3 linked regions of the Mus musculus genome follow. The main gene of each other region encodes a partner of the protein of the gene in region 3 in a complex. Links are inferred from orthologs where the notes say so. Each region holds a gene or a part of one and is shown on either strand. Other genes may lie near its edges. The genes, in order: Prpf38a, Smu1 and Ik.

Region 1 (3,652 bases), on a different chromosome or scaffold from region 3:
TTTTACTCTTTGCGTAACTAAGTCATTTGCAGGTTGCTTAATCTAGTCATTTTTCTCTTCCAGAGTTTGTGCTGATGCATGTAGATGAGTTCATTTATGAACTCCTGCACAGTGAGAGAGTCTGTGATATCATTTTGCCCCGGCTACAGGTATGAGACAAAGGTCACCTTTTACTTCTCACATAAACACAAATACCTACTGAAACACTGAAGCTTTAAGAGTTGTCTTAATAAGTCCTTATACCAAAATTTACAAAGGGTAGGGAATGAGATAAAAGCAGGTAATGTTTCATGGGTAGGCTTTGAAAATGAATAGAGGAAAGGATGTCTTATCCCAAATATACCTGGAGTATTGTTTTTTCAAATTGGTAAGCTAGGCTAAGAAACAGAAGAAAGATCACTCAGAATGAGAAAGAAAACACTCAATCCTTTAAACGTCTTGTGTCTTGTTTATCATCTTCCTTCACACCCAAAGTGATAACTATTCATGAAGCAACAAAAAAAAGGAGAACCTTTAGGCCTGAGAAAATGGCTTAGTGGGTAAAACACTTGCTGTACAAGCCTGACACTCTGAGTTCATATCCTTAGAACCCACACAGAAGGAAGACGGAGGATAATGCCAAAAGCTTACAGATCAGCTAACCTAGCATCCACATGTACACTCTGGCATATGTGCTTCACAGATAAAATTGTAAAATATTGAAAGAACTAAACAACCTTACCGAAAGTTTATTGTGCCAGGCATAATAATTGTGGTGCTGGACTTTAGTCCCAGCACTTGGAAACCTGCTCTAGCTCTAGGACAACTAAGCCTTCATGGTGAGACCATCTCAAAAAACAAATAAGCCTCACCACCAAAGAACCCTACAAACAACAACAAAAACAAAACAAACAAAAACCGCCCAGTGTTAGCGAAATGGTTCAGTGGTTAAGAGTGCTTGATCTGTAAACATAAGGACCTGAGTTCAAGTCCCCAAGCACCCATGTAAAAAGCATGGCTGCTAAGTACCTATAACCCAAGCTTGGCAGGCAGAAACAGACAGATGTTTAGAACTTGCTGGCCAGATAGTATAGCCAAAATGGCAAGCTTCCTGCTCAGGTAAAGACTTGTCTCTCACTGAACTAAACTGGGAAGCAACAGAAGACACTGTGGCCCTATTCTGGCATGGGTAAGCTGGCATGTGTATTTGCAGACTCATGTATTTGTGTCACACACACAAATGAGCAAATTTGCCTTTATAAAATTAAAACATTTACTTTTCATGTTATTTTAATTAATCATTATTAATGCTGGGGGTGTGTGAATGTGCCAGGGCATATAGGGGCCAGAGGACAATCAATTTTCACCTTCTACCAGAGAATGCCAGAAGAGGGCATTGGATCCTTTGGAACTAGTGAGCCACCATGTGGGTACTCGAGCTGAACTCAGGTCCTTTCCAAGTGCAGCAAGTTCTCTTAATAGCTGAATCATCTCTTCAGCCCTGAAGGTAACATTTTTGATGACACACAAATTGATTGACAATGTATTGACCTTACAGTATAAGACCACAGGAAATAGAAACAATTGAAAATGAACTTGTTCCCTTCAGCAATCTGTTTATGTTTGTAGGGGACCTTTAAAAAGCATATGGAGGGGCTGGAGAGATGACTCGACGGTTAAGAGCACCTACTGCTCTTTGGATGGTTCTGAGTTCAAATCCCAGCAACCACATGGTGGCTCACAACCATCTATAATGAGATCAGACACCCTCTTCTGGAATGTCTGAAGACAGCTATGATGTACTTACATATAGTAAATAAATAAATCTTTTTTTTTTTTAGAATTACTCTTTTTTTTTTTTTTAGGTATTTTCCTCATTTACATTTCCAATGCTATCCCAAAAGTCCCCCCATACCCTCCCCCCCACTCCCCTACCCACCCACTCCCACTTTTTGGCCCTGGCGTTCCCCTGTACTGGGGCATATAAAGTTTGCAAGTCCAATGGGCCTCTCTTCCCAGTGATGGCTGACTAGGCCATCTTTTGATACATATGCATCTAGAGTAAAGAGCTCCGGGGTACTGGTTAGTTCATAATGTTGTTCCACCTATAGGGTTGCAGACCCCTTTAACTCCTTGGGTACTTTCTCTAGCTCCTCTATTGGGGGCCCTGTGATCCATCCAATAGCTGACTGTGAGCATCCACTTCTGTGTTTGGCAGGCCCCAGCATAGTCTCACAAGAGACAGCTATATCTGGGTCCTTTCAGCAAAATCTTGTTAGTGTATGCAATGGTGTCAGCGTTTGGAGGCTGATTATGGGATGGATCCCTGGATCTGGCAGTCTCTAGATGGTCCATCCTTTTGTCACAGCTCCAAACTTTGTCTCTGTAACTCCTTCCATGGGTGTTTTGTTCCCAATTCTAAGAAGGGGCAAAGTGTCCACACTTTGGTCTTTGTTCTTGAGTTTCATGCGTTTAGCAAATTGTATCTTATATCTTGGGTATCCTAAGTTTCTGGGTTAATATCCACTTATCAGTGAGTACATATTGTGTGAATAAATCTTTTTTAAAAGGGGAGGCATATGGATTCCACTGTATATTAATATCATACCAGAGCTGTGGTTCCAAGGCTTTTCTGTCAACCCCAGAAACTCTGTTAGGATCAGGCTATGGAAGAAATGGCAATGACTGTTGACGTTGTGGTCCCTGTAGAAACGGTATGTGCTGGAAGAAGCTGAGCAACTGGAGCCTCGAGTTAGTGCCCTAGAAGAGGACATGGATGATGTGGAGTCTAGTGAGGAAGAGGAGGAGGAAGATGAGAAGGTAAGGCATGTATGAAAGTGGTAAGGCTGGGAAGGAAGGAAGGAATAGCCCTTATTTTGTAAGCTTTAGTTTGTAAATTAATGATAACCTTTCCTTTTTACATTCTTTGTGGATTAATTACTTTTGGGTTCCTTTTGGACAGGGAGAGCTCTAGTGTGTGGATAAGACTAGCAAGACATTTCAGTTCTGCCTCAGGAATAGTAGGATCACAGGCCTGTGCCTAAAAAATAAGAATGCTGTATTCTTACTAAAATTAGGAGCTTTGGTGTCAAATACCCCTTTGGCTTGAATACCTCTTCTCTGTCATAGTAGTGGTATAGTCTTAATTGTCCTGATTTTTCTCCCTTTGAGTTAGGGATTGATTGCATCCACAGTGTCACTTATGCTGAATGCATATTCTATCCCTGAGGTACACTCAGTCTCTACTGCTGCGTTAGATTGCTTGTCTTCTGTAAAGCAAGGAGGAGTACAGTACTTTTCTCTGAAGACTGTTTTGTGTTCATGAAGGTATATTCCCACATAATTGGTAAATGAATGGTAGCTATCAAAAAACTTGGACAAAACATGCTTGAACATACTCTTAAGGGGAGAAGTTACCTGCTACATAGTCATATTTTGTCAGAATTAATAATTATAGTGCTGAAAAGTGGAAAACAACCCACCTCAGCAGTCAGGATGTAAGGAGTCAGGTCGATTGTTGAAATGATTTTTAAGCAGCCATTAAAATGATGGAAATGTGGGAGTGCTTCTAGTAACTGCTCTAAAGCATTTGCAATTACATTCTAAGAAACACTGCAAGAACCAGAAGGACATATAAGAAATGCTTGGCGTGGTGACACATGCCTTTAATTTG
Region 2 (3,652 bases), on a different chromosome or scaffold from region 3:
TACTTACATATAATAATAAATAAATCTTTAAAAAAAAAAAAAGAAAGAAAAAGAAAGGGCACACTGGGAGTGGCGGCACACACCTTTAGTCCCAGCACTCGGGAGGCAGAGGCAGGCAGATTTCTGAGTTCGAGGCCAGCCTGGGGTACTTTAGCAGCTTAGCTGGGGGGTGGGGGTGGGGCAGAGGTGAGGTGGGCAGATCTCAAATGAGTTCAAAGCCAGCCTGGTCTTCCAAGACAGCCAGACCTACACTGTGAGGCTGTCTCAAAACACCAAAATAATAAGTGAGAAAATAAATAAAGTGTTTGTGTAAGCATAGGCCATATATAGGCAGGTTCCTGAGTTGGCCAGAAGGGCACCTGATCCCCTGGAACTGAAGACACAGACAGTTGTAAGCTGAGACAGGATCTCTCACTGAACTTGGATTTAAGGATTCAGATGAAATGTCTGTTTGGAAAGCTCCAGGGACTGCCCTGTCTCCTTCCCAGTTCTGGGATTACTGGCACCCAGCTTTTATGGGGTGCTGGAAATCAAACGTAAGTCCTCATGTTTGCCTAGCGAGCACTTTACTGAGCCATAGCTTCGTTCCTGGGTAATTTTTTCTTCCCTTCTTCCCCAGGCTATTCTAGAGCATGGGTACAAGGATCAAACCCCTGGCTCTCTGGAGAAGCAGCAAATGCTCCTAACCATTGAGCCTTTTCTCCAGCCTCTGAAAGAAGCAAATCTTTAAGGAACTGGAGAAAGAGCAAATACCTCGGCTGAGCTATGCCAGGCGAAGGGTACTGGAGAGTTCTGAGCACGTGTATTCCCACTTACGGATTCAAGTGTACCACTGGCCTTCGTGGGATGCACAGCCTCCAGTGCCTCCAGCGCCAGGGACCAAGAGAGAACTAAGCCAACTGGAACTACAGTCACAGGTGTTTAAGAGCCACCGGGTAAGTGCTGGGAACTGACAGGAGTCTTCTTCAAGAGCAGCGGCCACTCATTCACTGAGCTGTCTCTCCCACCACTAGATTGGTTTTGTTTTGTTTTGTTTTGTTTTGTTTTTCAAGACAAGGTTTCTCTGTGTAACCAACTGCCTGAGAACTAGCTCTGTAGACCAGGCTGGCCTCGAGCTCAGAGATCAATCCCCCTGCCTCCGCCTCTGAGTCCTGGGATTAAAGGCATGTGCTACCACCACCTGGTCCCTTGTTTTTTGAAGACAAGGTCTCATAGACCCTAGGCTGGCACTGATCACGTGGCAGGACTGCCTCAGATTCAACTTCTGGGAGGTTCTTTTTTTTTTCTTCAAAGATTTATTATATGTAAGTACACTGTAGCTGTCTTCAGATGCACCAGAGGAGGGCATCCAATCTCATTATAGATGGTTGTGAGCCACCATGTGGTTGCTGGGATTTGAACTCAGGACCTTCGAAAGAGCAGTCAGTGTTCTTAACCACTGAGCCATCTCTCCAGCCCCTGCTGGGAAGTTATTATTTCTGTGTAGAGATAGTCTCTTGTGCAATGTATGGAAGCTTCAACTGTCAATAAAAAGCCACCGGGTAAGTGAGCTGATACATGATTAGAAGGCAGGGCATCCAGCACAGAGAAAGAATTCCGGCATGAAAGATTCACCTAGACACAGAAGACAGTTGCATGAAACCGAGGACCAGGTAACCAGCCATGGAGCACAACTTAGAATAAATAGATAATTATGAGCTGGTTGGGGAACAGAGCCAAGCCTGTTGGCCTAGGCATTTATTCATATGTAAGAAGTCTCAGAGCCTTATTTTGTGAACCTGGGCGTGGGTGGAAAGGCCCAAGGTTACAGATGGCTTTCACTACACTTGTGCGCTTTCTTTCCCCTACTCCTCTTCAAATATAAGGAAAGCCCTAAACTTGGGGAGAAACACAAGAAACAGGGATTTACTTGGTCACTGAGACTTTTGATTTGACTCTAAGCACTGGCTTACAGCTAGGGGAAGACTGAACTACTGCGTGTATCTATGAAGGCAGCATCACTGAGTTCACTCTTTCTCTCCATGATAAAGCTTGGGTTATATGAGTTAGAGGTTCTAGGACTGCAGACCCTACAGAGCAGTAAGGAACCGTGGTCTCAGACTCACACGCTGCATCACCACCATCCTGACCACCAATACCTTCTTAAAACGGAACACATGGCAGACAGCCCACAATGACTGGAGGGGAATGTGTCACCTTCACAGTGCCATCAGAGGACGCACTGATAATGTAATGTCCATCCTGTGTAAACGTTGCTTCATTAACAAAGGAGGAATGGCCTCGAAATTCCTTCAGGGTTTTTCCAGATTTTAAACCATGAATTCTATCAAGTAAAAGTAAAACAATAATATCCAGCATGTTATTTCTGGAAGCAAAGTGTTGAATGTATTTAAGATGAATTATAATAGCATTATACAATATTAAATGAAGAACTATACACAGTATCATTTTTATTATGTCAAACAATGAAACAAAACCAATATAAACTGCACAGTAAGAAACTTCGAGAAATGTCAGTAACCTAGGCTTCTGTGCAGACTAGTAAATGAGAGATTAGTAATAAGAGACTAGTAAATAAGAGATTAGTAATTAGTGATCTCAGCTGTGTCCCAGCAATTTGTAAAACTGTCCTCTAAAGTGATTATAACACAGGTCGAGCCACAGACCACACTTTTGTTTTTAAGACAGAGTTTCACTAGGGAGTTCACGCTGGCTTAGGATTCATGGTCTATTTGGTTTTTTGTTTTTTTTTTTTTTTTTTTTTTGGTTTTTCGAGACAGGGTTTCTCTGTATAGCTCTGGCTATCCTGGAACTCACTCTGTAGACCAGGCTGGCCTCGAACTCAGAAATCCACCTGCCTCTGCCTCCAGAGTGCTGGGATTAAAGGCGTGCGCCACCACGCCCGGCTCATGGTCTATTTGTCTCTGCCTTCCAAGGGCTGAGAGTCCAAGCCTCCACCTCCACACCTAGCTTCACACACCACACACTAAGAAACATGAAACACTGTTATCCCACCCTTTCAAATCTCTTCTGGATACAACTCAAACAGAACAGTGCTGTGCCACCTGAACTGGGGACAATGAGCCCCACACACCCTTGCTATCTGTATCACCCCATCCTGGAAACATCATAGACACACTGGAACTTCTTCTCTCGGGGGCCTTCGTCTATTTATCAAATCTTCAGGAAGACAGTTCAGGGATTCCTCTTACCGTATTGTCTGGTCAAAAGAAGCACTGAGGATCTGACTGCTGTCCTTGGAAAAGCTTAGACAGGTGACACCTTTACTATGTGCCCTTTCAAATCTTCTCAAACACTGTCCACTCTGAATCTTCCAAACCTTTATGAAGAAAATAAAACATGTGAATAAAGTGTTAGCAGACACAGTTCACAACACAGTGCTAACAGACCAAGGCAGCATCAAGCTGCAGGCCAACGGCTCAATCTGCCTGGCTAAGGCGGAAAGGGGAGGATAAAGAATCTTCTGACGCACCGGGCGGTGGTGGCGCACGCCTTTAATCCCAGCACTTGGAAGGCAGAGGCAGGCGGATTTCTGAGTTCGAGGCCAGCCTGGTCTACAAAGTGAGTTCCAGGACAGCCAAGGCTATACAGAGAAACCCTGTCTCGAAAAACCAAAAAAATAAATAAATTA
Region 3 (3,652 bases):
TATTAGTAATAGAGTCATTGCTTGTACAAATGGACAGATTTCTGGGCCTGTTATTATTACTGTATAGTCTACAACGGGTTTTTTTGATTGGTGTCTAATGTTAATGTCAATTAAATATTTATGATACTTTTGAAAACTTGAGTGATACAGGTATTGATAATATTATGACTGCCTGATCAGCACTGGTTTTTGTATTTTGTTATTTTTGTTTTCTCTCTCTCTTATTTAAGAATAGTCTGACTAAATAACCATGGCTGGCTAGCTAGCCTTGTCACTGTGTAGACAAGGTTGGCCTTGTGCTCACAGAGACCTACTGAGTGCTGAGCGCAAAGGTGTGTGCTGTCACAACTGGCTGTTCTGCTCTTTTCTTTTCTTTTCTTTTCTTTTCTTTTCTTTTCTTTTGAGACATTGTCTAGACTTGACTGGACTTTACCATGTAGTTCAGGCTGGCCTTGAATTTATCCTGTTATCTCAGCCTCTGATGTGTTCTCAATGCCTTGTGAGTTTTAAGGGCTGGGGCATAATTTTCCTATGAGTGAGTTTCTTGTATCTTTTAGGATGCCAAGGGAGTACAATGAGGATGAAGACCCAGCTGCACGAAGGAGGAAAAAGAAAAGGTAAAGGGATAGTGGAGGAGATTGCTTTGTAAGGGAGCACAGTTTGTGGGCAAAGGAGTAGAGGAGTTGTCTAGTAACAGACGGGGGGTTTCCTACCGTGCAGGTACATCTCTGAGAGGGCATGTGGTAGTAGTCAAAAAGAAAATCTGCGTTAGAGGAAACTGAATTTCTGAGGTTGATGACAATCAAGAGTTGACTGGCAGTTCTATCAGGACATACATAGTTTTCACCACAGAGAGCTACTTAAAGGTATAGGGAAAAAGGAACATTTGTGTTGGCCTTGATATAGGAGTTGGTAAGCTGTACATTTCCTTTCTCTGGTCACAGTTATTATGCCAAGCTTCGCCAGCAAGAAATTGAGAGAGAGAGAGAACTCGCAGAGAAATACCGGGACCGTGCCAAGGAACGGAGAGATGGTGTGAACAAAGACTATGAGGAAACTGAGCTGATAAGTACCACAGCCAACTACAGGGCTGTGGGCCCCACTGCTGAGGCGTGAGTAAAGGGGGATCCTAAGGCCTGTTTTCACCCTATCAGAGACACAGTCACACTATATGTTTTTTAACCTACTCTGCAGCACACTGACATTTCAGAAGGAATTTGTCATTCATAAAGGACTCTTTTAACATGGCTGTTTCATTATTCAGGGACAAATCAGCAGCAGAGAAGAGAAGACAGTTGATTCAGGAGTCCAAATTCTTGGGTGGTGATATGGAACACACCCATTTGGTGAAAGGTTTGGATTTTGCGTTGCTTCAAAAGGTGAGTTCTATTTGAAGATGTGGAGAGAAATACTAGTGTTCATGTTTGGACATTTGTAAAGTGAAGGACACATGATTGTCCAGACCATTAGTTTGGCGGAAGAATTATAGGTGCCCTGTCTGTAGAACTTGTGACTGAATTCCTTGGGGAAGTCTTCTCTTGTCTGTCACCCTAGTGTGGTTAAGGGCCCGGATCCTTCCTTCCTTTTACACTTGTGTACTTGGTCAGGTGCGCGCTGAGATTGCCAGCAAAGAGAAGGAGGAAGAGGAACTCATGGAAAAGCCCCAAAAGGAAACCAAGTGAGTCAGCAGGAGAGGGCTTGACAGTGGAAGTGAGCACTTACAGTGGACATTTTCTGTTCTTTATACTGCCCCACCCCCCAATATTTTCTTCTTCTATTTTTAGGAAAGATGAGGATCCTGAGAACAAAATTGAATTTAAAACACGCCTTGGTGAGTAGTGTAGTCTCTATAGTAGTGATTGCATTTTATGTGGATTATAAGGAAGTTTATTGGTTTTTTTTTTTTCCTCCTGACAGGGGTTCTCTGTGTAGCCCTGGCTGTCCTGGAACTCAATTTGTAGTTCTGGCCTCAAACCCACAGAGATCTGTTTCCTTCTGCCTCCCAAGTGTTGGGATTAAACATGGGCCATCACCACCTGGCATGAAAGTCTATGTCTGGGTCCATTTTCAGTGGACCCAGACATAGACTTAATTATTTTTCATATCATTTATGTCTCTTCAGTTAGACAGGAGCCTTTCCATGTCTTTTCTATGTGTGTATCAGAGAAGGGTGGATAGGTGGGAAGTGATGATGCATCCTTGTAGACTTAGAGCTCACACGGCTGAAGTGGGAAGATGGCCAGTTGAAGGCCAGCATTGGGTAATTAGCAAGTCCCTGCTTTGAAAAACTCAAAATAACTGATAGCATAGTGATGCATACCTATAGTCCCAGCATTTGGGAAGATGGTCTTGACTAAGAGTAGGGCAAGCCTGGGCTGCATCATGAGACTCCCATCTCAAAGACAGTAAGTGAAAGAGTAAACAAATAAAGCCAATTAATTTTTTAAAAGCTGAACATAAATAACAAAATAACAAAAATATAGAGAAGGTAGCATGGATGACTAGAGAGATAATTCAGTTGGTAAAGTGTATCTTTTTACAAGCTCAAGCAGGAAGACCTGAAGTGATACCTAGAACCCATATATAAAAGCTGGGTGTGGTGGTGCTCTTATAATTTCAATGCTGGGGGCTTAGAGACAGGTGGATTCCTTGGTCTTGCTGACTAGCCTGCTTAGTCAACTTGGTGAACTCCCGACCAATAAGAGGATGGTGTTTAAGGGCTGACACTGCAAATGACTGTTGGCTTTCACGTGTACACACATGAAAAGAATGTAGCATGATTAGAGATTAAAGAATGTGGAGAGACCTGGATTTGATTCCTTCTGATGAAATCCCACTAGGTGTGTACTTTGCTCACTTTTCTTGTATATAAAGTTAGCTTAACGTGTACCTGTGTGATTGTTTAGAAATAAAGAGAAGTGAAATGCATAAAAGTGTATATAATGAGCTTGCAATGAAGTGTTTTTCTGTTGTCATTAATAAAATCTTAAACCAGCTTAGTGGAGCTGGTGCATGAGGCAGATGGATCTCTCTGAGTTCGAGGCCAGCATGGTCTGCAGAGTGGGTTCCAGGATGGCCAGGGCTACACAGAGATTCACCTGCCTCTGCCTCCTGAGTGCTGGGATTAAAGGTTTGTGTCACTACTCCTGGGTTAGCTTTATATTCTTTGTTTGTTTGCTTGTTTGTTTTGAGAAGGGTTATCTTTTTGTAGCCCTAGCTAATCTGGAAATAGCTCTATAGACCAGGCTGGCCTTGAACCCACAGAGATCCACCTGCCTCTGCCTCCCAAGGAATTGGAATTAAAGGCATTAACCACCACTGTGTGGCAGCTTTAGTATTTTAGCCAGTAAAAAGTAATAATGCTTATCTGACAGCATAGGGTTTTTTGAAGATGTACTGTGGTAGAGCAGCTGATGCTTAGCACAGAGTAGGTGATAAATGACTACTGTAACAATGGAAGTTACACTGGCTGTTTGAATATCTTTTTCTTTATATAGGCCGGAATGTGTATCGGATGCTTTTCAAGAGTAAATCATATGAGCGAAATGAGCTGTTCTTACCAGGACGTATGGCCTATGTAGTAGACCTGGATGATGAGTACGCAGACACAGATATCCCCACCACTCTCATACGCAGCAAAGCTGATTGCCCC

The links.
Region 1: Ik (region 3) and Prpf38a share a complex: the UniProt entries of both Homo sapiens proteins name them as parts of the spliceosome B complex. The link is inferred for Mus musculus from reciprocal best matches to the Homo sapiens genes IK and PRPF38A.
Region 2: Ik (region 3) and Smu1 share a complex: the UniProt entries of both Homo sapiens proteins name them as parts of the spliceosome B complex. The link is inferred for Mus musculus from reciprocal best matches to the Homo sapiens genes IK and SMU1.

The regions. Positions count from the first base shown.
Region 1 is NC_000070.6:108,569,303-108,572,954, reverse strand, and holds part of Prpf38a (pre-mRNA-splicing factor 38A), read left to right. Parts: intron 1-63; coding exon 64-149; intron 150-2,688; coding exon 2,689-2,799; intron 2,800-3,652. UniProt on the Homo sapiens protein: Involved in pre-mRNA splicing as a component of the spliceosome.
Region 2 is NC_000070.6:40,740,819-40,744,470, forward strand, and holds part of Smu1 (WD40 repeat-containing protein SMU1), read right to left. Parts: intron 3,341-3,652; coding exon 3,213-3,340; intron 2,324-3,212; coding exon 2,197-2,323; intron 1-2,196. UniProt on the Homo sapiens protein: Involved in pre-mRNA splicing as a component of the spliceosome. Regulates alternative splicing of the HSPG2 pre-mRNA. Required for normal accumulation of IK.
Region 3 is NC_000084.6:36,747,607-36,751,258, forward strand, and holds part of Ik (protein Red), read left to right. Parts: intron 1-557; coding exon 558-617; intron 618-944; coding exon 945-1,112; intron 1,113-1,264; coding exon 1,265-1,379; intron 1,380-1,607; coding exon 1,608-1,678; intron 1,679-1,784; coding exon 1,785-1,831; intron 1,832-3,497; coding exon 3,498-3,652. UniProt on the Homo sapiens protein: Involved in pre-mRNA splicing as a component of the spliceosome. Auxiliary spliceosomal protein that regulates selection of alternative splice sites in a small set of target pre-mRNA species. Required for normal mitotic cell cycle progression.